Rhinolophus ferrumequinum: one gene and its partner. The protein of the gene in region 2 interacts with the protein of the main gene of each other region in a biochemical or structural test. Links are inferred from orthologs where the notes say so. Each region holds a gene or a part of one and is shown on either strand. Other genes may lie near its edges.

Region 1 (15,011 bases), on a different chromosome or scaffold from region 2:
GTAGAACTGGGCACGAGACCCTCGGAGATGCCTACATTTCTTGGGGGGGTCAGGGGAGTACTGGAAGGACGGCCCCAATTTGGCTCCAGGGTGTGTTGCCTGGCCCCTTCCTCTGCCTTGGCCCGTCCTCAGCCTTCAGCACCCCTGCCCTAAGGGGAGGGCCGAGTTTAATGGCTGAAAAATGTTAAAATGAAATTACAGCAACTCACTGGCTTTTTTTCCTGACCCCAGTGGCTCGGTGGCACTGGAAATTCTGTGTAGCGGTGTGGGAGGGGTGGAGGCTGGAGTGAGAGGCCGCCAGTGGGAATCTCCTCCCCTGTGGGAGCCCCCTGCGACTGGAGGCTCACACTCCTGGCCCAGAAAAGTTTCTAATTACCGCTCAGGAGCCTAATTACCTACATCACTGGGCAGTGGGGACTGGGGCCTCCTCAGCACCCCCCAAGCCTGTCCCTGAGCACCGGCTGTGGTGTTTGCATCTTCATTTGCCTACATTTACTTACAGTCTCTCCGCACTGACCTCCAACAAGCCCTTACAAATCGTGCAGCTCCTTGTCCCTCACCCAACGTCTCTTAGTCAGGTTACAGGTGGGGAGACTGAGGCCCAGAGGCCCATGGGCTATCTAGAACTTTGGTCCCAGATTCCTGGTCTCCCCATCTCAGAATGGGACCCCCAGAACACAGAGCTCGGAAGGGAAAGCAATGGGGGCCCAACACAGGACATCCAGCTTTGCTGCCATGTGAGGGAGGAGGAGGATAGCAACACCTCTCCCAGAAGGACGGGCTACAAAAAGGAAAGCACAGAATGAGAGCCTACTGAGCCATCCTGCCTCAGTTACTCTATCCTCCAAAAACCCTGTGAGGTTTCCCTGCTGATCTGTTTGACAGATGAGGAACCAGCTCTGAGCAGGGTCACCCAGCTTCCAAGGGGTAAAACCGGAAGTTGAGCTCAGAACTGTCTGAACTTGGTCAGGAGAAAAACCCCCAACCTTCCCTTGGGCAGGACAGATGACATCGTGAAAATGGACAGATAGGGGGCGGCCGGTCGGCTCAGCTGGTTAGAGCGCGAGCTCTGAACAACAAGGTAGCCGGTTCGATCCCCACATGGGCCAGTGGGCTGCGCCTCCTGCAACTAGGTTGAAACAACTACTTGACTTGGAGCTGATGGGTCCCGGAAAAACACACTTAAATGAATAAAAGTTTATAAAAAAAAAAAGAAAAGAAAAAGGACAGATAGGGGAGGTCTTCCCAGAGCGTGGCCCTCCTGCTTTGGGAAACACAGGTTAGCTACATCTTTGCCCACTCCTGTCTGCCATACCTGGTCTCACACAGAGAAGCCGCAGCCCTAGAGAGGGGAGAAGCTTCAAGCAACGACCTCTGCCTGCACCCTGCTTCTTCTGCAAATGCTTCTTGATTTTCATGGCCCTTCCCCTCCAGGAAGCCCTCTTGGCTGCTCCAGCCTACGCAGATCCCCAGCTTCTGCGATCTGCGCTCCCACCAGCCCTGCCAGGAAGTGGGAACCAAAGGCCTGCCCTAACTGACTCCTGAGTCTGATCTCCCCTACTAGCCAGCTCCCTACTGGGAGCTCACAGGGTTCCTTCTTCATTCTCCCCTCCAGTCTCACTGCAGCGTGGACAACACAGGCCACAGATGCCCGGGTCTGGGTGAGGACCAGGTGCTGGGCAGGGCTGAGAAGCAGCAGCCAGGGTGGGCAGGCGTCAGATGACACCAGGTTCTCACCCACCCACAAAGCTTCCACCTGTGCAGAGAGCAGGACAGGCAGAGGGGAGCACCCAGCAGCCTCTCTCCTACTTGCTCCTGCAACTTGGGCCCAGACCACGGAAGGGGTGGGGGCGGGGGAGGCGGAGGGAAGCTGCGGTTGGAGGCCCAGCCCCACCGAGGCGTACACAGAGAGTGTGTGATGAGAAGCTGCTCTCATCACAGTACCTCAAAACCAGGAAGAGAAACTGAGCAGGCAGAAAGGGTGAGATGGGCGGCATGGGGCCCTCAGGTCCCTGGGGGCCTACCAAAGAGAGCTCTCAGACAGTCACTGGATAGACCACTTCGTCCTTCTGGGCCTCAGTTTCCCCATGCGAAAAGTAGGATTCTCTCCCTGGTCCAGCCAACCTGCCCGATTGGTGCAGGCTGCATCTTGCTCGCTAAGAGACCCCACAATTGGTGAAGCACTCCCAATACCCCAGTGGGCTTTGGCCTCTCCTGGGAAGAAGGGGCTTGGCCCCCCGAAGCTAGTCCCGCCTTACTAGCTTCTCCCCTCAGCCACGCAGGGAGCACACTAACTCTTCCTTTACCAGCTCTTTATTTTTAGGTCTAAATTTGACTTTAATCATTACTTAGCAGATTCTATTTCCAGCCCTTGGATGAAGGGACCCAGAGGAGAGGAGAAAGAGAGGTAGTGCTCCCTGCCTAGTGTGGGGGGGCTGGCCTGCTCCTCCACCCATCCTGTCCCCAACCAAGGAGGGGAGGCACTGAGAAACATCCAAAGGGCTCACCCCAGCCAGGCCAGCATCTTGGAGAGGACCCCACCCTGTGACCTCATCCCAGCCCAAGCTGTGGGACAGGAGGGCAGCTGTAATACCCACTTCCCCTGCACCAGGCCAGGGAGGAGGGAGGTACTCCACAGGCAGAGGTCTGGCAGCCAGAGTCCGAGGTCAGGCACTGAATGGGCCACCTAGGGGAGGACCCTCTGCCTGGGGTAGTCCTGGTCCATCCTAGGGTCATCTGGGGCGATGGTCTCCCAGGCTCAGGGGTGCCATGCTGAGACTGGTTTCCTCCTCCCGTCCAAGGGGGTGGTCCCAGGAGGGCACTCCCAGTTCTCTGGTCTCCAGATAAGCAGAACAAGAGAAAGCATGCAATGTCACGGGAATGCACACTCAGGTTAGATGGGGAACACCTTCCAAGGAGGAGGACGCTGACACACAAGACTTCCCCAGGGATCTGTTGGCCACCTAGGTCCTCTTCAACTCCCAGCCGGGGGAGCCCTAAAATCCCTGCCTGCCCCAGCTTCCTCCCTGCCCCGGGCCCTGGGAAAGGGTGCGGAGACGAGGCTGGCTGAGGGTCAGAATGCCTGGGTTCCCTGCCCAAGTCTCAGTTTTCCCAGGGAAAGTAGGCCTCTATGTCCACTGGGGAAATGAGGGGCCTGCCGAGGAAGTAGCCAAAGCTGGGGGACGGGAGGCAGCTGGGCTCTCAGAGCAGAGGCCTTGTTCACTCAGCTCGGATGCCGGGAGAAGAGAAGGAAGGGTAGGGTCAGGTCCCAGAAACCGACCAGTAACCCATCTTCTCAGGGCCAGGCCGTGATCTGGGCCGGCCAATCACAGGGTGACAGGAAGGGGGCAGGCAGGAAGGCGGGACGGGCACTAGCCAGAGCAGTCCAGAGCCTCAGGGCCAGAGGGTTTTAAAAGGGCCCCGGGCCACAGAGCAGCCCTTGGCTGGTGAGCCACCAGCCACCTCTGGCCCAGCGTCTTCTCCACAGACTGTGGTGGGCACTCCATCAACAATGCCCCCTCCCCCGCCCCGACAAAGTGCCTGTGACGGCCAGGGGCTGTGCCAGGCACTTTCTAGCACCTTGGAGTGTTCACACTGCCCGCACATTTCCCTCTGGAGCAGGGACACTGTCCCCGGTGTGTACATAAAGGAACCCTGTCTCAAACGGTGACCTGTCCAAGGTCCCTCCTCCCGGGCCTAAGTGGCATGGCTGGGCCTGGAAACCAGGTTGGATGGTTGTCAAGTTGCCTGCTCTCTCCGATACTCCTGGTCACTATGGGGGCCTGTAGCAACCACCACCCCAACAACAGTCAGGAAACAACAGTGCATACGCTTAGTAAGAGGGTCTGGGTAGGGTTGCTGTGGCAGCTATTTGGAAAATTCTACACCTTTCCGGAGGCAAAGTTACACAGACCATGTAGCAGCATGAGAAAATGCCCACAGACACAGTATTAAATGAAAAAAGTCATGGCATGTACACTGAAATGACAATAGCGACGAAGGAATAAAAACCCAGGAAAGACTGGCAGGGAACTCCAAAATGCTAGTCACTGTGCCAGGGAAGAAACAGTGGGTGATTTTTGTTTTGTTTTCTACATTTCCTGTAGTGCTTTGTTACTTTCTAAATTAAGAAACTAATACATACATAATTTTCTCGCAATGAGCGCAGACTCACTTCCCTGGGCCCCGCCTGCCCCCAGCTCTGGCCCTGGTGTCTGGGACAGCTTCTACCATGGCAAAGCCCCTCAGACACGTGAGGGTCTCTCCCTACCTTCTCTTTTCCGTACCAAATACCTCTGCTCTTTGGAGATTATGTGTCAAGGCTTTGAAATTCCTCAAAAGATGGAGGCCAGAACTGGGCCCAGGCTGCCCTGCCCACTCAGGCCACCTGGCGGCTTGCTGGGGCAGCTAACCGTGGCTCCTGGGCCTCAACCCCCGCCTGTATGCTCTGTAGTGTCTCACCGTCTTGGGGCCCAGTGTCCCCTGCAGTGGTGCTGGGGACTGTTTTCTGGTCCTTCCTTGCCCCCGATCCAACAAAAAGAAAAGCAGTCACTTCTGAGAGGGAGGAAGGCACCTAGCTCGCCAGGTAGGAAAACACATCCCTGCACATGTGCCAGCCTGCAGCCAGACCCCGGTCTACAAAGGCCGCGGGACCCCAGCCACCCGGGTACAGCTCAACCATGTCAGGCCTCAGCCCCAACCCCAGGCTGGAAAGGAAGTTAGGGCTGGGTGAGGGGAGCCTCACAGGCCGACCTCATCTGGGTCCTCTCCACTGTGCATGTCAGGGAGACTTGGGAAAAAACTTCTAATCAAGGGCAGAGCCTGAGCAGGGCCCCAGACATGGCTCGGTGTCCTCCAGGGAAACTCCCACCCTTCCAGGAACAAGAGGATTCTGCCACACTCCCAATCTCCCTCCTGCTGCCTTCACCCTGGGGTCCCATCAAGAAAGACGCTGAGATCCCCATGGTGTGGGGAGCTGGGAACAGGCCCCTGGGTATCCCCTGAAAATGCTCCTATGCCAAGGCTGTGGGGCGTTCCCTGTGGAAACAGGGTTCTCACCTTCCCCATGTGGATCCCATTCACGCTCTGAATTTGGCTGTTCCTATGCCATCTGGGCCAAAGGTGTGGGAGGGCAGGGTCACGACTGAATACCAGGCTGTCTCAGCTCAGTGCCAGGGCCACACCAGACAGGTGTCCCCACATCCTCACCAGTGGGACCCAGCCTCAGGCACCGGGGGTAACCCCAGGGGCAGTGCAGATGCCTGAGCCCATACGCAGGCAGAGCTGGGGCCGGAAGTCCTCTGCCTCCTCTACAGCCCTCTGTAGGGGAGCACATGCTCACCCCACAGGGTCCCTTGGGCCAGGATGGGGGCCTGTGTCCCTGGTCAGTGAAGGTGCCTGCCTGGCTGCCCTCTACCTACAGCAGTCCAGCTCTGTAGAGCGGGGGATGGATGGATAGACAGCATAGCTCTGCCAGAAGCCTGGGGGAGCAACTTCCCCCTTTGAGCCTCAGTTCCCTGGTCTACTAGGAGGGGAGAGGAAAGGAACCCCTAGTTAAGTTCCAAGGATCTGGTGGCTGGACACGCCCCTTCCTGACACCTGGCCTGGGCCCTGAGGAGCCTGGGAGAATGGGCTGACCAGGCTGCCAGGCGGTGGGGGCATGGTCCTAATGCCCAGTGTCACCTCTACCCAGGACAGTGGCCCTGCCAAGTTTCCCCACCCAAAGGTCAGAGGTTCCTTGGCTTAAGCCTGGTTTTCTGTGAGGCAGAGGGTGACAAGCTCAATCTCTGGGCCCTGGGATTCCTAGAGCAGGCAGGGCCTCTGTTGGGAAGCGAGGGAGGGGTCATAACCAGGCAGACCAGGGAACCTGCAGGGAGGCCCTGGGTAGGGAATGGCAAACTGCCCATTCTCCAGGGCTCTGGCCCAGGCTGACCCCTTCCCTCCCGGCTACAGCCAGACCCCACACGGGGGAAACAGGGGGACAGACTCGGCTGGCCTGAGCGAAGTCTGTGGGGGCTCATAGGGCAATACTTCCCTCCTGTGCTCCCCTCCCAGTCGGGCTGACAGTGACTCCCGGGAGAATTCGAAACCGGGAAGGAGGGGGTAAGGGAGGTGGGGGATGGGAGTGGACGCGACGGCAGCTGCAACAGCAGTAACAGAAGCGGGACGTGAGACCGCCACCCTCCTCCCTCGGGAAATACTCAAACGCACTCACCTTTCAGGGCACTGCGGTCCGGGCCACCTCGCTTTGGGCAGCATTAGCGGCCTGCGGGACGGTCCATGCCGCCAGGGGAGAGGGGAGGGGCGCAGGGGTCCCCGGAGGATGCGGTACAAAGAGGTAGGAGTGCGGAGAGAGGGTAAGGAGGGACGGCCAGACGGACGCAGGGGGCAGCCGCGCGGCCAGGGTCGGGGAGGGAAGAAAGGCGGGGGAAGGAGGGCGAGAGGGAATCGGGGAGGAAACAATGTAGCCGGCGCGGCCCCGGCAGAGTTCCGTTTCCGAACGCCGCCACCAAGGTTTGATTTTGGAACGTCGCGCCGGCTGCCGGGGGCCGCCCAGGACGCGGGGGGCTCCCCGCGCTCCACGCCCCGGAGGCTCCGGCGGCCACAGGCTGGCTGGGGCGGGAGGGACCGCTGGCTGGCGGGACGGTCCCGACGGCGGCGAGGCCGGAGGGTCGCCCCACTCGGACCCCACCCCGGCAGGACCCCCGACAGGGTGCGGGGTGGGGCGGGAACGGGAGGGCGGCGGCGGGCTCGGCGGCGGCGGCCAAGCTCAGCTCGCCCGGGGCTCTGCTGGGAGGAAGCTCACAGGCCTGGCGAGAGGAAGCGCCGCCCGGATCCTCCGCCCGCGGCAGCGCGCCTGCGCGAGGGGGCCTGCCAGGCGTGCGGCGGGGCGTGGGCCAGTGGGGCGTGGGCCGGCGGAGGCGGCGCCCCCTGCCGGGCGCCGGGGGCACTACGGGGGGTGTGTCCGCGCCCACGCCCTGCCCCCACCTGCAGGCCTGCGATGGAGGCTCCCGAAGGTCCCGCGCCGTGGGCCGACCAGCCCGCCTTGGAGCCACCAGCAGCCTTCCCGGGGCGCAGCTCCCCTGCTGTAGAAGCGATTGAGGCCGGGCCTGGGCCCTTCTCCTTGAATCTGTTTGTGAAGAGTGGGCCTCACTCGCAGCAGGAAGCATTCATTCATTCATTTATTCTCAGACGATTAATGGCGCTGACGATGAGACGGGCCCGGTTCCGGAGTCTACTAGTAGGACCACTACATTACTGTCAAGGTGTTCTCGGCACTACTGACCGGCCAACAGACAAGCTCAAAGAAATAACTGATAATGGTGTACAAGGTCCACAGGAAGCGGAAAAGGGGGAGACGAATGGGGAGATTTCATGGAGCTGGGACCCTAGGCAGGGGGAACAGCATGGACCGCGGCAGGGAGAGATGAGAGAGCTTGATGGCTCTGGAACCTGGAAATAGCGCAGTATGACAGTGTAGGTCCAGGAGAGTGGGAGGAGATGACGTCCCCGGAAGACCAGGGACTAGAGAGATCCAAAGAGCCTTGTGGGACTTTCTTAGACTTTGTTTTCAGCCTGGAGGCAATGGGGATGTTGTCAACAGCTACGTGACTTTGGGAAAGTTAATAACCTCTCTGGGCTTTAGTTTCCCCATTTGATAAAATGGGGGAAATAATAGCACCAACTTCTTAAGGTTTTGTAGGACAGGAAATGAGTTAATACATTTAAAGTGCTTAGTGAGCAGGGGCTGGCACATGGTCAGCCTTCAGTCAAGTCTCGTGTGTTGTTATATATCATTATTAACAAGGAGCAGGGAGGAGATCTACTTTGAGCTACAGGAGCAGACAGTGGGTGTGGGTGGGGGGTTAGAGAGTGGGGTCGGTGACGGGGAGAGACCAGAGACTCCGGTGCAGATAGGACATGTGGAGGCGTTTCCTAGGGACTGGGCCGTGAAGGAAGAGTCAGGATTGTGTGGGCACAGAGGAGGGACGTTCTCCGGTAGGGAAATGAGGTGTACTGACAAAGTCTTGAAATTCACAATAAGCGAGGGGCTGAGGGAGTGAGGTGGACAGTAAAGGGCTCTGTGGGAGAGTGAGCTGGGGAGACTGTGGCAGCAGATTGCGAAGAGCCTTACATACCAGGAGCAGGAGTTGGGTGTGCCTTCACCCAAACCACAGGTGACCTTCTGACCCAATGCACCCCTGGCCAGCTTGCCACTAAGGCTCCAGCCCTTTAAGGAGGGGAGTGGTAGTCACACCCCTAGCCTTTGAGGAGCTATCCAGTAAGTTTCAGAGATACTGTGGTGGAAAAAAGCACGAATTTAAGGTTCAAATCTTAAATCTCAGCGGGGCCATTTACTAGCTGTGTGACCTTGGGTTAGTTACTTAAGGTCTCGGAGCTCAGTTTCCTCTTCTGTAAGATCAAGCTCAAAATACATCTCTCTTATGAGAGATGGTACAGATTCAGCAAGATAACGGCTTTGGGGGAGGGCGGAGGGGGTGCTTAGCTCAGTTGGTTTCCCTTTCTTTCCGATGAGGTCAAGATGGAATGATAAAGTGGGACCGGATGGGGCCACCTCTTAGCCTAAAGGGAAGCATTTCAGCAGCTCTGCAAAGCCTTCCGAAGGGAGAAGTTGACATCTCCCCTACCCTGGCTGAGTCAGCTTGCAAAATGGGAAAGGGCTGTGGGGACGTGGGGAAAAGGCTCTAATCCCTGGCCCAGTTTTGTTACCTACCCATCTTCCCTTAACCCCAAGTACATTTGACATTTTCCCTGGGTGTATGTGGCCCAGAGTGTGAACTTTGGAGTCAAACAGACTTGCATTTGAATCCTGACTCCACCTCTTCACAGCAGAGTGAAATAAATTTTTTAACTTCCCTGAACCATAGGCACAGGGGACAAATCAATAAAGGGCCCTGCCCCCACAGAACTCTCCTCTAGTGGAAGAGCCAAGTAACTTCCAACCTTCTTCATTCATTTATTCATTCATTCACTCATTCAACAAATACTTATTGAGCACCTACTAAGTGCTAGGCATTGTTCTGGATGCTGGAGATGAAGGAGTGAGCAAAGAGTAAGCAGGGGTCTTGTCCAAGAGGATAAATCAATAAACAGGGCAATTAGACACTGTGGTATGAAGGTGATGAGTGCCTGATGGAGGACAGCAGACCAGGAGTCAGGTACAGGTGGCTCAGCAGCTTGAGGGACAAGATCAGCAAGCGGGGGAGAGCAGTGTGAGGAAGGGGCCAGGTCCTGGAGGGCACTGTGGACCAAGGCTTTTGTTACATGAGTTTGGGTTTTGTTACATGAGCAATGGGGAGCTGTTGAAGGATTTTAAGCAGAGGAGTGACATGATTGAGTGAAGGACAGGAGACCAGGACGATGCTTTGCATGGTCCTGCCAGTGGTGACAGGAGTGAGCTCTGATGGACAAAGGAGAGCCATGTGACAGCTCTTGATGAAGGGCTGTTTGTGGGGAGTGAGGCCACAGGAGAAAGCAGGCCTGGTCCTCAGGTGTGGCTGGAGCAATCGAGGAAACTGGTACTGTTTCCTGAGGTGGGAGGGCCTGGGGGAGGGGCAGGCTGGGAGTAACGCTCAGGAGCTGGATTTTGGACAAACTGAGTTGAAGACACCTGTGAGACATGGAGATGTCAGGCCAGGATTTGGAGCCACCTTTTACACACCAAGGCTCAGAACAGGAAAAAACTTTCTCCGAGTCCACTCCCAGGCCTGGGCTTCAGGTCTGAGGACCTCCAAAGCTTCCCCATGCAATGGACTTTAGGAAAGGAAATCATTAGAGCAGGAATAATGATTCCTCCAAATCATTAGGATTTGGGAGGAATTGATGAGGAGCCCCGTCCCAGCCAGGTAGGCACAAGCACTAGCTTTCCCAGGCTGGGCTACCTGTCCCTGGCGTGACGGAAAGGAGAAAAGAGGAGATGCTGGAGACCCCGGATGTAGGGAATGGAGCTCAGAACTTTGGGCTGCATTTTGATAAGATCCAACTGGGCTAGCTCGATGCAAAGTTAGGTTGGTCATTGATGGCCAGAGGTCCGGAGCTTAAACACCTTCATGGGTGGGCTGCACTCTGCTCTCAGGGTCTCCTGGGAAGGGAAGGGCCTCTTCTCAGCCACCCTAGCTCCTCCCCTCCCCCAGCCTCTTTGCTTTGAGATGACAGTTTAGAGAAGCTGGTGTGAAATAGTTTGAAACTCAGTCCCGTCTGGGCGTCCCCCAGGGCAGAAAACAGGAAGCCAAGATTAAAGGCAGATTTCCAGCAAAGTCCCCTCGACTTCCTGCAGAGCAGGTGCCCAGGCTGAGCTGATGTGAGCAGCTTCCCTTGCTGACAACACCTGGGGTGCCCTGCATGGCTGGCCCTCCTGCTTTGGGAGCTGTTCTTTGGCCCTGTCATCACCGTCACACCCCGGAACTCTGCCAGGCCTTTGGGGAATGAGCCTCCTCCAGAAAAAGACTGGAAGGTGGAAGGAGCCGTCACTGGGAAAGAGGGCTGGTGTTGGCACTGACAGGACACAGCACTGGGGATATCTGGGGGGCAGGGAGACCAAGCAGGAAGGGCATGAGTTTGAGGTCACTCAGGCCCAGTGTGAATGCCGCTTCCCTGCTGCAGGGTCTCACTGACCTGTGGGGATGGGTCAAGGGGTGAAGAAGTGCGAAGGGGGGCTTAAGGAAGGTGGTCAGGGAGACCAGACCAGTGCTAGAGCTGAGGTCCCTAAGGAAGGCCAGAAGCCAGGAGACAGCAAGTGCCCAGAGGGGCCCCTGCTCTCTGAACACCAGGGGCTGCTTGGCTGGATGACCAAGCTGATATCTACACCTGCTAAAGGCTCAGCAGCTGTGGAATCGACAGGGGGCCAGGTGGGCCTCCCATGTGACCTCTCTCCCTTCCTGATCCGCAGGAGAACAGGCTTCCATGAGCTGCACTAAGTCAAGAAGCTGTGCTCGCCTCCTGCAGAGGCAAAGCAAAGCCTCAGCCTGCATTCTCCTCAAGGAGCCTGAGCTCCCAAACGCACAAAGCTCTCCTTGGGAGTAAGCATTGCCCATCTGAATCTAGGGGCATCACACGTTGAAAACCTCTCTCCTTGGGCTGGCTGAGTTTATCATGAGGACAGTGCGTTGGCATAAGAGACCGAAGTTCGAGGGACCGAAATCGCTTCTGCCTTTGGGCAAGTCCTCCCTGTTCACGCCTTAGTTTCCCCATCTGTGCACCAAAGGGTTGCATTTAGTGTTCTCCTGCAGCTCTGACTCCGTAGGGATGGTGGCTGCCAACTGTCTCCAACTTCTGTCCCCCTGGGACCAGGGAACTACCATTTAATGAGCACCTACTATGTGCCAGGTACTTTATTATTATTACTGATGATGATAGCTAATATTTACCGAGTACTTACTAGGCACAAGCATTTTTTTTTTTTAATGTCAAATGAAAGTCTGTTCTCTTTGTTGCACCAATTTGCTCCAAGGGTATTTCCTAGGAAAGTTAGTCTCTGTTTCCCATATGATGGTGGCAGAAGTCTTGGTGGTGGTGGGTTGGTGGCTTCGGGGCTTTAGAGGTGGTGACCCAACTGAGAGGCCATTGGGAGCTGGAGGACCCCACTTCTGTGGCCCGAGGCAGCATGCACATAGGGCCTCCCCAACCACACCATGGGCGTTAACTAGCTGGTCCTCTGCTCCGAAGGGCAAGGGTCCTGGGCTCCCTGATTTGCAATCTCCCCAGAGTGGGCAGATCCAGAGGCAGGTCCACAACATGAATTGGTCAAGGTACCTGGGATCCCTGCAACCTTTCTTGGTGCTTCCCTCATGGCACATATTTCTTTCCTCCTGCTTAGTTCCTGTCTTGGTCAATGTTCTGTCTGGGGGGAGTACAGATGGTCACCAAGGCGATGAGTTCCCAGGAGGGATGTGCAGCTGTGATGTGCGTACAGGACACTGGAGCCGCCTCCCAAGAGCTCAGACCCTGCAGGAGAAGAGATGTCTGCGAGGCAGGCCGAGGGGACAATGGGAGCAGAGGCTCTGGAGCTGGAAGGGGTTGAGCTTTGGGAGAAGGGGAAAGAGGCCAGGATGGGGTGAGGTGCAGGGCACGAGGGAGCAGAGGCCGAGTGGCCAGAGCCTGCAGGGCCACCTGTGGACCACGGAGTCTTTGGATCCCCTCCTCAGGGCAGAGGGACCCTGCTATTAGAGGGCTTACCACAGCCTCGACTGTACATTTGCATTTTTAAAAGATCCTTCCTGCTTCTGGGTGGAGAATTGACTGGCTTTTTGTCTTCCAGGAAGCTGCAGTGACACTTCCCAAATCTCAAGGCTAGGCTACCCCCTTCTCTCTCCTGTTCCCCTCATGGCCCACTTCTCAGCATTGTAGCACTGACTTTCCCCTGGGTGCGGGTTTCCGGATCTGTAGTTGGAGGCTGGAACCCGCTGGAACCCGCTTCTCAGATGTTGGTTGAATGAATGAGTGAATTTCTTCCTTTCTTTTGTTTTTTAATGGGGAATATTGGGGAACAGTGCATTTCTCCAGGATGTCAAGCTGCTGTTGTTTTTTGTTTTTGTTTTTCTCAACCTAGTGGGGAGCACAGCTCAGCTCCAAGTCAAGTCACCACCTTCAATCTAGTTGTGGAGGGCGCAGCTCACTGGCCCATGTGGGAATCGAACCGGTGACCCTGATGTTATGAGTACCGTGCTCTAAACACTGAGCCAACTGGTCGCCCACCGTTGGCTCAGCTCCAAGCTCAAGTCTTTGTTTTCAATCTAGTTGTGAAGGGCGCAGTTCACTGGCTCATGTGGGAATTGAACCGGCAACCGCGCTGTCAAGAGCATGTGCTCCAGTCAACTGAGCCATCTGGCCACCCATGAATTTCAGTTAGTAATAGTAGTAATAGTAATAATAATAATAACAGGTAACATTAACTAATACCAGGCTTATCACGTGCCAGACACTATCCTAAACACTTTACATGTCTTAATTGCCATTTAATCTTTGCAATATATTTGTGAGGTAAGTATCATTTCATTCTGCCGCTAAGGAAACTGAAGAGGGAATCCCTGGGAACTCAGCCATCGGATCCTAGGAAGGAAAGGAAGGACCCAGGATGCCCTCGCATCATTCTCACCCAATTTATCCTAATAGCTTCTGGGTTAGAGTCTTGGACTCACGCCTGCCCAGCTGTGTGACCTTAAGCAAAAGGCACTTAACCTTCCTGAGCCTCAGTTTAATCATCTCTAAAATGGGAGTGAGAGGCCAACCTCACAGGGTACTTATGATGCTAAGATGAGATGAAGTATGAATTGCAGGCACAGTGCTTTGGCTCAAGGCACCTTTCACTCACCGGCAGTTAGATGAATATTTTTTCTCTGACTCCTGAAGCAGGCTGTGTAGTCCTGGTTCTCCCCTGCTGTCCTCTATGAATTCAAGTCCAGCTCCCTGAGGCTTTTGTCTGTTCCTGAGCTGACAGTTTCACAATGGCTGATGAATTGAAGCCCTCCATCATCCATTCACCCAATACTGAGGGCGTGTTGACTACTTCCCAGGGACCAGGGGCCACTGGGGTTGGGCAGGTCCAGAAGCTTCCTTGGCTCTCCCCTGGAGTCCTGGGCTTGCAAAACCTCTTACAGTTTAGGGCTTTCCCGTCAGAGCTGCCCAGAGACCTTCACCTGCCAGCTCTCAGCTCTGAGCTGGACCAACCTCCACCCAGAAGTCCCCAGGCTCTGCTTTGCGGATTGGGAGCCCCAGTCGGTCCTGTTCTGGCTTCTTCGTGGGAACTGTTTAGGGGAAAGCAAGAAAAGGGTCCTGGCGTTCTCCGTTGTGCAAAGGTTGGAAACTTGGCCTAGGGTGAGGTGACAGAGCACCAGGAGCAGGAACCAGAGGTTGCCGGGCTTGTGCGTCAGGCCAAGCTTTTGCAAATCACATGCAAATCCTGTTGTCCAGGTGTTATCCTGTGAATAAGCCTGGTGCTAACATCTGTCCCTGTCCGATCAGGGCCGCTTTCAAAAGTCCCTTCCCTTGGTTGAGAGTGGGGTAGGGCTGGATAGGAAGGGGACCCTTCCTGAGCCAAAAGGAGCTCCAGAAGCCACCTGTGCGTCAGGTATGGGGCCTGGAGTGCCCTTTTTCAGTGGGCTCCAGGGACCAGGCAGGATATGTCCCTTCCCTTTGGTTGTACAGCCCCTCCGAGTTTAATTCTAAGCAGCGTGTGTCTGGGTGCTCTCTGAGGACAGGGACTGGCTCCTTTTTCTCTGTCCTTCCACGGCCTGGCACTGAGCCTGTGGCAGTAAATATGTATTGAGTGAATAAGTGAGTGACTGAATTCTCCCTGGGGTCTCCACTGTCACTCCTGCCACAGGTCTCATGGCTCCCCGTCCAAGAAGAAGGTCCTTGCCTGCTGCCTTGTTGTCAGTGCCCCCAGCCCATCTTCCTGAACCGCTACCCTTATCATCTGGGTCTCCAGAGGCACTCTCCTGACAGAGGGAGCCCCCTAGAGGTGTAGGTCGCTTCTTCCTCCAGTCAGGGCCAGTTCTGGTTAGAGAGGTGGTCTGTTCTCTCCCCAAGACTCCCCACCACCCCTGGGGCCATGCAGTTCTAATTCCTCAGCCTCTAGTACAGCAGCCAGTCCTCTGCCACCCCCCACCCCCCCACCTCTACCACAGGCAGGCAGCAGTGAGTAGCAGCCGCAGAGGGAAAGCTGGCCTGCTGAAGTGTGGGAGCCTCGGTCTAGGTGCTTGGTGTCAACAGGGACCTAGCACTGGCTGAATGAATAAAGATTGAGGTTGGGGTGACAGGACCAAAGCTTGGGAGGAGCCGCTTGGTTCCCTGAGCTTGTGATGCAGAAGCAGCATGAGATTTCAGGTCAGTTAGGGTGAGGTTATGTGACAGAGGGAAGCAGTACCACAAGCACTAGGGTCCCTTGGAGATAATTTTCAGCGGCAGCTGAGAGCCGAGAGGCCAGGGGCAGCATCCTGTTCAAACCGCACTGGAGGCCCCATCTTAGCTGTCTCCTGTTGCCGGCTTCCTGG
Region 2 (15,161 bases):
GCCTGCCTATATTCTTTGAAATTTTGAGATTTGCTCTTAGCTGCCTGAAAGGAGTTTTGCTTTTGATCACCCATTATTTATGTGGACTGATTTCAAGCTGGATTCAGAAATTTCAGCTTGAAACTGCACATTTTGCAACGTTTATAACACTGTCTACTGATGGCTGACGTCCGCTGCTGTCCCCCAGTGCTATTCAAACCACTGCGTGATTCAAAGGTAGACTTTTAGATGTGTTTTCTTTTTTTTTTTTTTGAATGAAAAAATGTAAAACACAGACTCCTGTTTGACATCATTTTCAAAGAAGCAGCGCGACCAAGAAAGAAACTACCACCAGCCAGTGTTTCCATATTAAACTGACGACGGAGAGTTTGAGGATGTGACAAGTGATGGAGAAATGCACCTGGGGGCTAACATATTGGTGCAGGAAGACAAGGACCCCTGGCAGATTTGTGAAGGCAGCGTCAGGGACAGCTGAGGCAAAGTGAACTGTGCATCACCTTCTGGTTTTCATTTTCTATTTTGCTGAAAAATAATAATACTTGGTGTTATCATGAAGACTAAGTTAATTAATTAAGTAGGCCTCCAATCCATTACTTTAAGCAGTCTGAACTCATGATTGTCAAGCATGGGGTTTTGTTGGCACCAAAAGCGTATGACCTTTAAAAACGTTTCTTGTTTTATAGGAGACATACAGTGTTTCTGATACCTTATTACCTGTCAAACAATCTTGACACTTTAGTTTTTTCATGGATTGCCGATATATTATTTTATATATGAGGTAGTAAATTTTCATGGTTCCAGAACAGAACTGTAAACTAAGCCATGTAACAAAGGTGTCATGGGAGTGAGGGAATTGGAGGGAAAATGGAGATGGTTTAGAGAGAACACGTTAGGTCATAATTAGAGCGTGTGCTGAGGACGTAACAGAGAGGCGTGACTTCTGTTTCAAGCTATCGTATGTTCCAGCACTGTATTTCCTCATAGGATTTGGAAGCTAGTTTAGCTCTTGTTCTAACCTTGCTACATGTTGTGTTTATGCATCCAGCTTTGCAGCTTCACTAGACCAGAAAGAGCAGTCAGGCACTGCCAGGAGCCAGTGTAGAAAGAGAGGGAAGGAAGGAGAAAGAGAGGGAAAGGGAGAGGGAGAGGGAGAGAAACATCCTGCAGACTTCAAAGGAACCAACAAATGATAAATATGTCTTATAGTCAGTAATGTGAGGCGTGCAGTAAACCACACCATCTCAGCGAGGGCCTTAGGAAACAAGAACTCTGGAGTCCACAGAAGACTAGGCCAGAGTGGAATATTCTCTTAGTTTGTTAAAAACTATAAGACTTTCTCAGGGAGGCCCATTTGGAAACTGGCCTCAGAAGTCAATGCCTGTGTCAGAGTTCTTTATGCTCATAACTGGCTATTAAGCAATCTGAACTCATTGATATGCAAACATTACATAATTGTATTTGTCTCCTGCTTCTGGTCAGCGATTTCAGTGATTCTAAGACCCACATTTTATAAAACATGTTTTAACATTGCTGAAATCAGAAGACATCTTGCAACTGACAGTGCTTTTAAGCTGTGATTTAAAAAAAAGAAACAGCATTTTGAATTTCCCTTTTCCATCTCTTGGCTATATATAGGGCAAGTCTCACAACTTCTAAGTTATTTTGGGTTAAAAAAAAAAAAAGGATCATTCCAGCTGAGTTAAACTCTCCAGTCTCAGGTTCAATCTAACTCATTCACCTCCTCTCTTCCTTCTAGCAGCTGTCAGGCCAGTGCTCCTACAATAGTGTGGTTTGCAGAAAGGAACGATTGTGCTCAGGTCCTCCTCCCTCGCTCCCAGGTCTCTCCTCCTCTTTTTCCTTGGGGCTAGAAGGAGGAATAGGTTGTAGGTTCTATTGTACATGCTTTTAGTTATAACCTAGTGTGTTTACACCATTACCTGAATGCTTGTTAACTATTTAGTTCTTACAGCAACACTGAGAGTGTTTTAACTCCATGTTAGCATTAAATCACTGCTGGAACTAGGAGTTAGCCATCTTTCTTGACCGCTAGGCAAAAATCCCTTTTTCTTATTTATATCAGCATTGTCTATTTTACATCGTTGGCAGTAAAGTACAGGGATGCGAGGACAAGCTCTAGAAGAGTCAAGGTTCGAGTCCCCAAGCAGGAAAAGCTGTCTGAGCAGCACCCCTCCCCTTTATGCAGCTTGATGTTGACAAGACTTATTTTTATCTGGATTTGCATTTTATACAAAGATAGAGGGCAGTTTTACCAAATAACATGGATTTCCTCACTTAACACCTACATTTTCAAAAGATAAAATGTCAGAATTGCAGGAATGTATTTTTAGATCAAATGATAAAGATGGAGCCGTATTCCCTCCTTTGTGCTCCTGTAATATTTTGTTCGCGGATAAGAATATGTATCAGATTTTATAATTGTTCATGGTAACTAACTCAGTCATTTATTGAACTGGTAAACATTTCTTCCACCATCATCCCTTGTACTAGAGCACAAACATCCCGAGCATTTGACCATCTCCTACTCTTGCGAAACCCCAATATATGGCCAACCACAGCCTCACGTGTAAGTCTCATTCATTCATTCATTCATTCATTCAACAAATATCAAACTGTACCAAGCACTCACTCCTGGACTTCATGGCTCATCCTCCAGAAATCAGAAAACAGACGAGATTCTGAGACAGGAACTAGCACAGAGGGGCCTCTTTTAAGCGGGATGGTCAGGGAAATGTTACTGAGAAGGCGACATGTAAGCTGCTACTAAAAGGAAGTTATGTAAAGAGTGGGTGGTGGGGGTGAAGTAGGAAGAGCATTCTGGGCAGAGGCCCTGAAGTGGGGACGAGCTTGGCCTTTCAAAGAACAAAAAGACCAGTGTGGCTGGAAACAGGCATTAAAAAAGTGGAGGGATGTGTACAGAGGCTAGATTTTATTCAGCGTGCAAAGTGGAAAAATATTCAGAGGTGCTGGAGACCTATCCCAACCTGGTTTGTATTTAGAGGAGATCAAAATGATTGCTCTGGAGAAAATGTTGAAGGGAGATAGAATGGAAGCTTGGAAAACAGTTTAAAGGCTGTTTCACCCATGGTGGTACCTTGGTCCTAAGTAATATAATTGGAAATGGAGCACGAGTAAGATGGTGGAGCTAGAATGAAGGGGACATGTCGATAAGTTGAATGTAGTTGTGGCAGAAAAGGAGAAACAAAAAAAAAAATAACGTTTCTGCTATAAGTTCCTGGTAGGCTGGTACCTTTACACGTTGGGATAAGATTGGGAGTTGGGGCAGTTTAAAAAAGGGAGGGGTCGAGACTTCCACCTTCTGTTGAATAAGCAAATGTGATTCCAGAGACCTGAACTGTAGCTCTGATGGGAGATATATGTTGCGGACATCAGCACGAAGGAACTCCCCCAGAAAGAGAGAAGTGGGCCAGGATGGAGCTTTGATGTGTGATGACTTAGAAATCCGGCAGAGGAAGAGACGCAACATGGCAGCTGCTGAGGACAAGCCAGGAGGGTCCACGAAATCAGCTGATGATGGTGCTTTGGAAACCGACAAAGAAAAGGCTTAGAGAAGAACTTAACTGTATTTTGTGCAGCTGAGAAGTGACATGAGGTGAGGACAGAGATAAGTGGTGGTGTCACGTCTGGCAATGCAGATTATCATTGGCAAGAAGATTCAAGAACAATGTTTCAAGCACTTCCAGAGCTCCCCATTTCTCTGAAGATAAAGATAAATCTCTTAGGACACACAGGCCCAGCAGAGTTTGGCTATTATCCGTCTGATGTCATCTTTTGCTTTGTTTATGTCTCACTTCTTTTTGTAAAACTTGAGATACAATTGACATATAGCATTGTGTAAGTTTAAGGTGGATAATATGTTGATTTGGTGCATTTATCTACTGCAATTTCCAGGTTCTGCTTCTCTCTGCCATCCATACGTGCCTCTTCCTAATCCTGGAGCACACGCTCTGCCTGTAAATAGACGATTCTTTCTGCCCGAATACCGTTTTCCTCCCCACGACCACTTACATTCTATTATTTTTTAGGTCTATCTTCATTGCTTTTTATTTCAGGCAAAATCCCCTGACCTCACGACGGCATCAAATATCCTATTGTGTGTTTATTTCATAACATCAAATACTTCCTGTGTGCTGAAATTATCATGAGTTAATTCATGATTAACTTAATTACTTTCGTCCCTTCCACTGAAAGCAGGGAAGCACATGTGCTTTTGCTCAGCATTTTTCTTCACGAATGGAAAAATGATTGTCTTATATTAGGGGATGACTATTTGTTGAATGACTGAATGAATAATGTCTGTTTCTGCAGTTAACCTCGTATAATCTGTTTCTGTCTTTATATAACCTTTACTACATGTAACTCGAAACCTGGAAAATAGTGGTTAAGTAAAATATCATTTAGCATTTAATATTACAGCTTTTAACAATCTATTAGACATCAATCAGCTATGATTGTTTTGAAATTGCATTGGTGAAACTTTGAAATTGTTTTCAATACATACTGTTTTAACCACTCAGGAAATACCACACACTATTTTTTACATATAAACTCGGATGTTACTTCCCGGTCCTTTCCCAGCCTCAGGTGTTCTTCTTTAATTTTATTTTTCAATTACAGTTGACATGCAGTAATATATTAGTTTGAAATGTACAATGTGGGGGTTAGACATTTATGTAACACGATGCAATCACCCCGAAAGTCTAGTCTCCATCGGACAGCATACACAGTTTATTACCATATCATGACTATATTCCTAGCACTGTCCTTTATGTCCCGTGACTGTTTCTATAACTGCCAATTTACACTTCTTAATCCCTTCACCTTTTTTACCGTTCCTCCAACCCCCAGTTGTTCTTAAAAAATGCCGTTTATCAGCAGCCTGCCCACTCTCTCTTTCAGAATCAATGACAGTGGCTCCCACCAACAGTCACACACACCCTCCATTTCTGCAGGACTTTGTGGGCGGCTGCTTGCCTCGGCTCAGATGCTTGGCCTGTAAGAGATAATGCAGACATTTCCTTGGATGCCCTTGGAAAGGCCAGCCGCTAGCCACCCCATCTAGGTGTCCAGGTTAGTGAAAGGCGAGTGATGCCCTGTCCCCCGGCAAGCTGCGGGGGCCTTCTTCTTAGCACCGCCCTCCCCACCCGCTTGGGTCTCAGGCATATCAGACCTCTGGCTCACCATTGTGTCTGCTCTGCCAGCACCTGAATTATGCAGATTTACTTACTGACTTCTCTCTGCACGGTGCTCTATTTCTTTTTATCTTTAGTGTCCTCAGTATAAAGTGTGCCACGCACAGTCTCTTATTTCCTGTAGACCCTGAACTCCGTTTGAACACATGAAAATAAAATATCATTCTCCTCGTTTGGTGCTAGTTCATCTTAGTATGTGTTGGGTTGAATCTCTATCCACCTTGGGACTAAATCTCTGACATTCTTGCTATTTCTGAAAGGTCTTTAAAAATGTCTCTTTCAGGCTTCTAAACCCGTGTTTGGCTTGTTATGGACAGTGTATGTCTTATATCCTTCACTCCCTTGTACTGGATTGTCATGTGTTTTCCTCTGTAGGCTGCCGTAATAATAACACAACAGAACACAAGCGTTTGCTTAAGGATAGTCAATCGCAACCCCCAAATAGTTCTCCACGGCAATGGATTGTAAGAATTGGCTGTGGAGTTGAAGCTGATCCTGGAACAAGACAGGTTTGAACTGTGAGGGTCCACTTATATGCAATTTTTTCAATGACTACAAAGTCAGCCCTCTGTATCCTGGGTTTTGAATCTGTGGCTTCAACCAACCACAGGAGGAAAACAGTATTTTCCATCTGGGTTGAGAATCCGTGATGCTGACAGCTGAGTGTGCATTGTTCTGTCATTTTATAGGGGGGTCTTGAGCATCCATGGGGAGCCTGGAACCAATCCCTTGTGGATATCTAGGGATGACGGTAGATAAGTTATTTTTTGGCGGGGGTCGGTGTCAAAGTTATACTTGGATGTTTGACTGTGTGGGGTGTTGGTGCCCCGATCCTGGTGTTCAAAGGTCCACTGGTCTTAAATTCGGGACCACTGCCATATATCTCAATAGGCCTACCTACTGAAAAGTGGAGCTTACGTTTGCGGCTATTTTACTTAAAAATATGTTTGCAAAAAGAGAAGCACATCATTTTTATGGAATCACTATTCTATCTTTTAGAGATTGAAAATGATAAAAATCCTTAGTAAGAAAGATTGGGGAAAGGGGGAAAAATGAAGAAGGTTGGTAAGGAAAGGAAGGAAAGTGAGATGAAACTTGGAGAGGGTTCAAAACACAGACTGTGTCCTGGCTAGATGTGAGAGCTTGGACCCATCCCCTAAGCTCTCTGAACTTCCCGGATAAAAGAGGGATAAAAACATGGGGTCTCTCACAAGCTGTTGTACAAGTTAGATTACACAAGTAAAGGGCGACGTATCGTCCTGGAGGTGATGACAGCCCCGTGAGTTAGCTATGATCATAACCGTCATGATAAAATCGCAATCACAACAAAAATCTTATTATTGTGTTATTATCCAGAATTTGAGCGATGGGCTACTTCTGTTTGTACAAAGGGTATGTGTGTGCAAATTTGGCCCTGTAGCTCCTAGCAGCCAAAGTAAGAGTAAAACAAAGAAGTTTATAAATATCAAAAGATGTATGTACGTCAATACAAGGACCCTAGCAGTGCTTCCTAATTGGGGATTGGAGAGTTCTGGCAAGGGCTCTGTCTGTGTAGACCACCCCTAGGCATTCCCTATAGTTCGCACAATCGTGCCTGGTATGTGTGTGCACGATGTTTTTAAATAAACCAGATGTTGTGATAATGATATCAATTTATTTCATTGTACTGCTGAATCTGTAGTGGCTTCTTGCCAGTAGACATTTTTCTAATTTAGAGATGTGCTAAGGCCCTCATCAGGATCACGAAAAGCGTTGTAGTATGTTAATGTATCTTTTAATTAAGAAGGTTGGGAACTGGCTGAGAGGGGGGAAAAAAAGGTCAACTTTTGTAAAAGACAGTTCTTGAATTTTACGGCAATTCTTCCCCTCACGAGCTGCACTCAGACTGTCTCAAGTCACAGAAGCACTGATTTTCTTGAAGCAGGATTTGCTGTAGTGGAGTGCCGTTCTGATTTCTTCCCTGGCCCCACAAGGATATCAGTGAAAGATTTGGGGCCAACCTGCTAAACTCTCTGAGAGGGCTTTTGCATAGGAAATGGGTTTGACTGCCCCACGGCAAATGGTCCCAGTTGCCAAAAATAACCAGATCGGCTGTTATTTATTCCTTCATTTGGTCATTTTAAATCATACACAGGTATTTCCTACTAGTGGCTATCTTGCCAACCCCCATTTTGGTATGCCTGTGCTAAATTTGTGTTTTCACCTTTTAGCTAAGAAAATGATTACTTAGGGAGGATATGTTTTTTGTTTGTTTGTTTTTTGTAATGAGTACTCTAAGGGAGCATTAATTAGATACTCAGAAAACATCTTCCTTGAAGGAAAAAGTCTTGTAAAAGGCCTACTAAGTCTAGTTGCTTGAAGTAAGGAAGTAAGATGCCTTTGCACTTAGTTTAAACAACTTTCTTGACTTCCTGTAAAGAGGACCCTTTGCTAACTTTGGAGAAGTTAGTAAAACCGAATCTGACATCACTGCCTAGCAGCTTGTGTCGCTAGCAAGTGGTTTGTTCTTAGGGTGACAGAGGAGGAAATTGCTCCCCGTCTGACAAGACGACAGTGAAGAGTACGCATTCATTTCTTTTGTTTTTGATTCGGTTTTACAGAGAAAAACTTTTCAGAGATAACCATTATTTTGCCTTTTCAGAAGGACGCATGCTGTGTCATAGGAATACGGCTGATTTGCAGATATGACCATGCCTGTGTGGCTGAGACTTCTCGTATTTGGCTGTGCCCTTCTGGACATAGGAGTGTCTGGTGAAGGTAAGACCAAGGATATCATCCTTTCCTCGCTTTTGTTTTCCTTGTGGAGTGCCATCGGTTTGAAATAGACAAAAAAATACGTGAAGGGTTGGTGACTGGAAGTGATGAAGTGGCTGCGACCTGCTCAAGGCATTGTAGTTGAGACAGAGGTGGCTCGCTATGCCACAGAATACATTGTTTCTGTTTAAGAATACATTGTATCTGTTAAGATAAGTGTTGGGGGGGGAATCACAATTCACAAGGAAAGCCTTGTCTATCTGTATCTTTGTTTACCGACTGTTCAAGGGTATTAGCAAAGCCACATTGTTACTTAAGCCTTCCAAGTACACGAGAGGTAAACTTAGTCCAAGGAAATTTTAATAACAAAATAAGTGAATATTTATCCTTTTAAGAAAACATGAATTTTTTTAAAGTCACAATATGGCTTTGGTTGCATGTAAACCACTCCCTGTTTCCGGCCAGAAGATTGCTTCCTCAAATTTTGATTACTGGTGAACTATTTTATTGAGTACTTAGCTATGGAGTTTCAAACAATATACTTGGCTACTTCATAAAATAGTAACTTTGTGTGTATTCTCATCACAGAATGTGTTGGAAATCAAGTTTTTGGTTCCTTACTAACAGTTTTAATGCTTATTTGCTTTGGAAATTCTTACAAAGCCACCGCCCTTCCTGGTGATGGGTACATGTCAGAACCTCGATGAGATAAAAATATGTAAACCCAGCAATCATGTAAATGCTGTATTCTGTAGGAAAATACTAATTGGACTCTCGGTACCTATTTAAGTTGGAGATCTTTGTTGGGTCTGTTTAATGGGTATTTTTTTTGGAACAGTTTTAGTTCGGGTCATGAGTACATTTCGGTTGATGATTAAATGTAGCTAATAAGTTGATATTCAGTTTCTGCTTATGATGTAGCATGAAAACGCTGTTTTTTTTATTGGAAGGATACTGAAATGGTATTTTGGTAGGAATTCCAAGTCAGTTGGAAAAAAAAAAGGAGAAAATTGGTTTTAAAAGCTTTGCTTGTCGGAATTGACAGAGAAATGTTTCTCGCTGACTGTCCACAGCTCTCCTTTCCTCTGAACGCCAGGGTATAGGTACCTCCTGAGTGTGGTACACGGTCAGTGTAAGCACGGAGTGTGCAAAGCAGTGTGAGGTAGTGTGTGTGTGTGTGTGTGTGTCTTAACTACAAAGATCGATTAAAGCCATTTATATAGGTACACCATATTGTCTCAGAACACAAAATGTTTAGCAAGTTACCATCCCTGTAAGGTGCTTATCGTAACCAAAAACCAATTATAAAGGATGACAATTTTAATAGGGTGATCATATGTGTTTTATACATTGGAGTAAATTTCCGTTAAAAATTCCCACCCAGGAACTGTTGCAACACATTTCTGAAAGAGCATCAAGGAATAAGAAAATTTGTTGCCCATAGAGCAAACCACCGTAAAAATTTCAACTCAGTGTATTAACTATTTTTTACTGTAAGAAACATCTTGAATTTGTAATCAAGTTGAGAGTATAAAATGATCTAAAACTCTTGAAATCAATTTTGCTTATACTGTAAATAAATGGAGATACATAGATTTATTTGGAAAGAGCAAGTTTAAATTCAATTGCTCACTCAAGAATCAAGAGCAAACAATTTTCTCAATGCATTGATAATCTTCCTGAAATATAATACATACTTACTTTTGGGGGGAAAAATAGATGTAATCATCTGTGTCTGCAAATCTTGTTATCATGCATTTAAGTTCTGAGAGACATTTTGTGATTCAGTGTATCATTGGGGAAGTTAGTAGGCTTTATTTTTTAATTAATGCTTTAAATTATATATTTTTCTTCATTAGCAACCAATGAGTTGGATTATATATTTTATTTTAATGTGTCAAATTTAATGTTTGTAGGAAATATTAGACTTTTGGGTATGAAATCTATATGGTATACTCTGAAGACATAAAGAATAGGGCCAAATGCATAGAGACATCAGTGGATAAATATGTACACGATTCATACATGTTACTTCATCTCCAAATACAAGAAAGTTCAGCTCTGTCAGGGCAACAATGTTGGGGTGAGTTTTACACAAAAACTGGTAATCTCCGTGCTCTGTGCTCTTTTGCTATGAAAGCTGGAAACCAAAAAACTTTGTTTAAAACCTCTAACTAACTCTAGGGGATGATGATGGTTTCAAGAATGCAGATAGAGATGAATGTTCACTGGTCTAAAAAAGGTTTCAGGCACCTTTATCCCTCCATCACAGCTTGGAGAACGTGAGTTATGAGTCATAACAGTTAAGATTCATTTCCTGCACCTAATTCTTCATTTTGCCATCGACATGAAAGGAAATACCCCAGGTTGCAACATGGAGTGTGCCTTGCACATCACAGGTGTTCAAAACAAATTATGAATTGAACTTCATAAGCAATCCTATTATGTTCTAAATACTCTGTAATGTAGAGATTTGTCAGTATGATTATTTATTGATTTTTTTAAAAAAAAGTATTTCCCAATACAAACCTGCCTGAGACCCTTCTCATTACGGGAATTTAGAATGCATTTTATTAGAGGAAAGGTAAGGTGGGGTCACGGGTCTTTCTATGTCAGGAGGCACAGGGGCAAGTTGGTTGGCTTGAGCCGGGTCTTGGCCATGTTCTGGGTCACGTGACATTCTCTCACCAGTAATGAATAGTGTGGGATATACTCATAGGGATTTCTACTCTGTTCATGTACATAGGCATCGCACATACATACTAGTGTTTTATATACACTAGTTATATAGTACACACAACATATGTATTCCTAATATACACATATATAACTGTATATGTATGTGTGTATTATAAATACATACTTATATGTAAATAAATGAGCATATTTTTTAGGGAGTTCTATAACTCACACACACACATCTACCATCTGTCTAGCGTTCTCCACATTTGTCTACATTTAAATATTGGGGGTCTACAGGCTTCCATTCTCGGCCAGTTGCCTTCATGTTTCCTACTCTCAGAGCTTCTTCTCATTCCGTCCTCCGTGTTGATGAGCTCAATTTTCCATCTCCTGATTCATCCCTCACAAGTGGGACACCCTGCCTTCTTTTCTAAGCTTAATCTCATTTTTTGTTTGCAAAATATATACATATATTCTGAAATATATATATATGTATATGTTAAAGGCTCCCCAAGTCCTATAACTTTGCTTTCTAATCATCTATAAAATCATTTTCTGCTTTCCTCATCTCCTGAATTCATGCCTTATCATTTCCACCTGGGGTATTGGGAATAGGTTCTTCGTCTGTCTGAGGTCTTATCCATGTCTTTCCACACTCTGCAGCTTGAAACTGTAAGATAAAAGGGGGGAAATAACTGATGTCTCCTCACTGCTTTTTGCTGTGCATTCTGAACTCCTTGCCCGAGCAACAGTCCACTGACCAGCTGAGAGCTGGGCAGGCATCTTTTTTCTTTCTCTTCTGTGACTGATTAAAACAGACAATGCAGGCGGCAGTTTCAACACCCCCTTTACACTTCCTCACGGCTGCCCACTGAGGCTCTGTGGCAAATCCTGTTTCCTGTCAAATATTCTCTTCTATCACTCTTGCCACAAAATTTTGCCACTGAAATTGTACACTTTTACCACCCTTTCCTTGGGGTTTTTCACATGTTGTTTCCATTGGTGGTTGTTGTTGGTGGTATTTTTATTATTTCTTACTGTTGTAACTTACATGACAGCAGAAATTATGTCTTATGCTTTTTTTGGTATCATCTGTACCTGATTTTCTTACCAGGCACTGAAAAGTAAGGGATTTGCTTGTTGTTTGTTTGTTTGTTTTTTTAACAAAACTGCACATTATAATAATGGAGGAAAAGGAGGAGACGGACAAGAAAAATTTCAGAAAGGGAGGCCAGAAGGAGGGAGAAAACATGAGACAGAGGCAGAAAAAATGAGTCAGAGGCAAAGAGGGAGGATGGAGGCAGTAGGACCATTTTATCAAAATAATTTTGGATGTGGATCTTTATAGGCTTGTCTTTTTTTTCTATTTTTTCCTTCTCCCCATTTTACTTCTCAGCCGGAAAGATTCTCTGACACCTTAAAAATCCATAGTTCAACAATGCCGTTCCTAAACAAGGTTTTCCTTCACCTACTCTTTGGATAGTCACGCTAATGACCCTTCATCTGGTGGGTCAGTTTTGTTCTTCTGACACGGATGCCAGTAGGAAGAACAGTGAGGAATGGGGAGGGAGGTATGCTGCGAGCAGCGGGACAAGACAAATTCAGGTCCAGCCTCGCAGGTACCTGCCTGGGCACTGATGCTCGTGCCAGGGGGCTGGCTCCAGGGCCAAAGGGAAGACGAAACATGCTGCATGTTGCTTGGTGCACAGAGAAGTTTGTAGAGAGTCCGGGCATCGTTTCCTACTCCATAAAGGGATAATGAATTTCCATCTGACTGGACCAAGAGTAGCAATTTGCACTCAGGTAGACTAACTTCATTGGTGGAAGCCCAGAGTTCATGTAGGCAAGGTTTGGAGGGCAGACCACGTGTATGTACGTCGTCTTGGTGCAGAGGGAGACTTCTGGCGTCGCTCCAGATCTCTGATCTTTTGCAGCCATCTTGTATGTTATAGGCCTATTTACACAGGAGAAAATTGAAATGGAAATCGAACTGAATCTCTGTTTAAGCTTCATTTCACTCTAGTCTAAATAACTTCATTAGTAATCGACGCCCATACTAGTTGCCTGTTAACAAAGGACTAGCGCATACATAAACATAGTGCTGTTTAGGGAAGGAGGAAGGGAGAAAATGAAATGTTGCAGGCTGTTCATTCAGCAATATCTGTGATTGCTATCTCTTTCTACATAATACTGAAATATGCAGAAATAAAAATTATGGTAACTTAGATTTAGTGTACATGGTTCTAACCAGTATTTACAGTAGAAAATATCTAATTATCACCTAAAATTTTTAGTAAGCATTCCTGTTTATATGTCAGTGTGCTACTTCCATTTCAGTCTGGGGAAAGACTATTTTTAGCGGAGTATTGTTGTGTTCAGTAACCACAACAAATACAAGAAAAAAAAAAGCAAAAACTTTTCTACTCCTTCAGCCAGGACAAGCGTAAATATACATAAAGTCAATGTTAGTGAAATACATAAGCATCTTCTATGTCCATTCATAGTATTGATTCACTTCTGAAAAAGTAATAAGCAATATTATCAATGTTCTTCTTAGATTCTTTACTGAAGACCCCAACTCAAACATCTCCCGTGATGCTTAGCGATACAATTTTTAAAGATTACGCATATTTTTCTTGCTAAAAATAAGACACAAGTCTCTAAAGTGAAAAAGCTACCTTACTAAAACTTCAGTTTCTCCTATATATATAAATTGCATGGGTGATAAAGTGGTAACTCCATGCAATGATATTCAAGTAAAATCGATTGCTGCACATATATTTTAAAAATTACCCCCAACCAAAATGAGAGCAACAGGAAGAAAATCATCAAACCTCCAAAAAAGTGATCTGTGCAAGTCAGGTCAGAATCCAAGAGCTCAGTGCAAGTCAGGTCAGGATCATCTTATTAGGAAATAAAAGCTGATAAGACAAAAATGACTGATAAACAAGGAGAAATCATCTGTATTGTAAATAAAACAAAAAACGTATTCAAACCCGATTGCCATGAAAATAGATTAAAGAAACCTATATAAGTAACACTGATGTTAAGAGATAACATCAAAGGGAAGACAGCATGGCAATAGGTGTGTTTGCTGTATTTTAAATATCTCCCCTTAAAGTAAAAACAAAAACAACCCCCCCCCTCCAGTTATTTGTTTACTGATAAAAGGAGTATTAAGCATTGTGGGAAATGAGTCAGGAGACATTCCGAGTTGGAGGATACCATGGCATTTGGAGAGAAAACTATTTTAAAAATCTAATTCCACGAATTGTATGATCTGGACCCAAAACCGTTTCCACCCCTGAGATACACTTTCCTCATGTATGAAGTGTCGCAGGCGTTCAAAGTGATCGTATTTGTGAAAATGCTTTGAAAATCATGAGACTCTGCAAAGCTATAATTTTATTTTAGCTTTATTTGACCTCATGAGCTCAGAGCACAGAGCTCTCTCCCTTTGGACGTGATTGCAAGTGACGCCTGGCCCTCGGAAGGACTCTGAGGATGAGAGTCGCAGAGAATACACCCTTAGAGATACTCGCGTTCTTTTAACTTTGTACCCTGTTTTAGGGATTTTCAGGATAGTCTGGAGCCTTTTTAAATAGTTTGTAAATCCATCCCCTTTCCCAACTCTGCTAGGATTCTAATCACATCCGATTGTAACAACAGTCTCAAATCTTGCCTGCCTTCACTCTGTACCGCGTCTTACCCACCCCTCTGGATAATCTCTGTAAAAGGTAAAACTCGCCTTTGCCTGTCCCTCCTTCAATGGCTTCCTGTGGCCTACGGAACGCACTGGCCCCCTGACTTTGACCTCAAGGATGTTTTGACTCAACTTTTATGAAAATAAGCATTTAGTTAGAATATAACAACATTTATGAGTTTTCCTTGAGGACAGATTTCACAGGAAAAAATTCTTGTATGCCAATTTAATTCCCTGAATAATTTTTAAATATAGCCTGACTAAATCATTACTAATTTTTTCCATTTTTATTTTTATTTTACTGAACGAATGTTCAACAAAGCCAGTTTTCATTTATTTTTATGATTACTGTTCAATTTATGAATGAATTTTTATCCACGTCATTTTGCTGATGATAGCTTATGCCTTTGGGAATTTTCCATTATGGTTATGATTTTCATAAGTGTAATTTTGCTTGGCAAACAATATACATCTTAAATTTCAAAAGGTTTTAATTCTTCTATTTAGTCAGAAACAAAATTTCCTGTGTGCAGGGTTAACCATTGCTAGTTTCTTTTCTTCTTTTTCCATTTTAATGTAACATAAAATGTAATTTGTAGAATGCAATTTTTCACTTTGTCAAATTTAGATCGAGCAGTCTGTGCCATTCTCAAATTTCTACTGTGTTGATATATCTATCAGCAACATTCATTTTGCAATTGACAGCTCTTTTAGCAGGATTCATTTTAAAATTTTGAGAGTTGTGGTTATTTCTCAGTCAGTGGAAACTTTAAAAACACTCAGAGGAGTGC

The links.
Region 1: of the proteins of PTPRC (region 2) and CSK, one has a biochemical effect on the other in vitro, tested with the Homo sapiens proteins (2 studies listed by IntAct). The link is inferred for Rhinolophus ferrumequinum from reciprocal best matches to the Homo sapiens genes PTPRC and CSK.

Annotation. Positions count from the first base shown.
Region 1 is NC_046289.1:99,357,133-99,372,143, reverse strand, and holds the start of CSK (tyrosine-protein kinase CSK), read right to left. Parts: upstream 7,243-15,011; 5' UTR 6,988-7,242; intron 6,773-6,987; exon of another isoform or gene 6,215-6,772; intron 5,083-6,214; exon of another isoform or gene 5,059-5,082; intron 1-5,058. UniProt on the Homo sapiens protein: Non-receptor tyrosine-protein kinase that plays an important role in the regulation of cell growth, differentiation, migration and immune response.
Region 2 is NC_046310.1:2,391,944-2,407,104, reverse strand, and holds the start of PTPRC (receptor-type tyrosine-protein phosphatase C), read left to right. Parts: upstream 1-7,669; 5' UTR 7,670-7,791; intron 7,792-7,872; 5' UTR 7,873-7,915; coding exon 7,916-7,988; intron 7,989-15,161. UniProt on the Homo sapiens protein: Protein tyrosine-protein phosphatase required for T-cell activation through the antigen receptor. Acts as a positive regulator of T-cell coactivation upon binding to DPP4.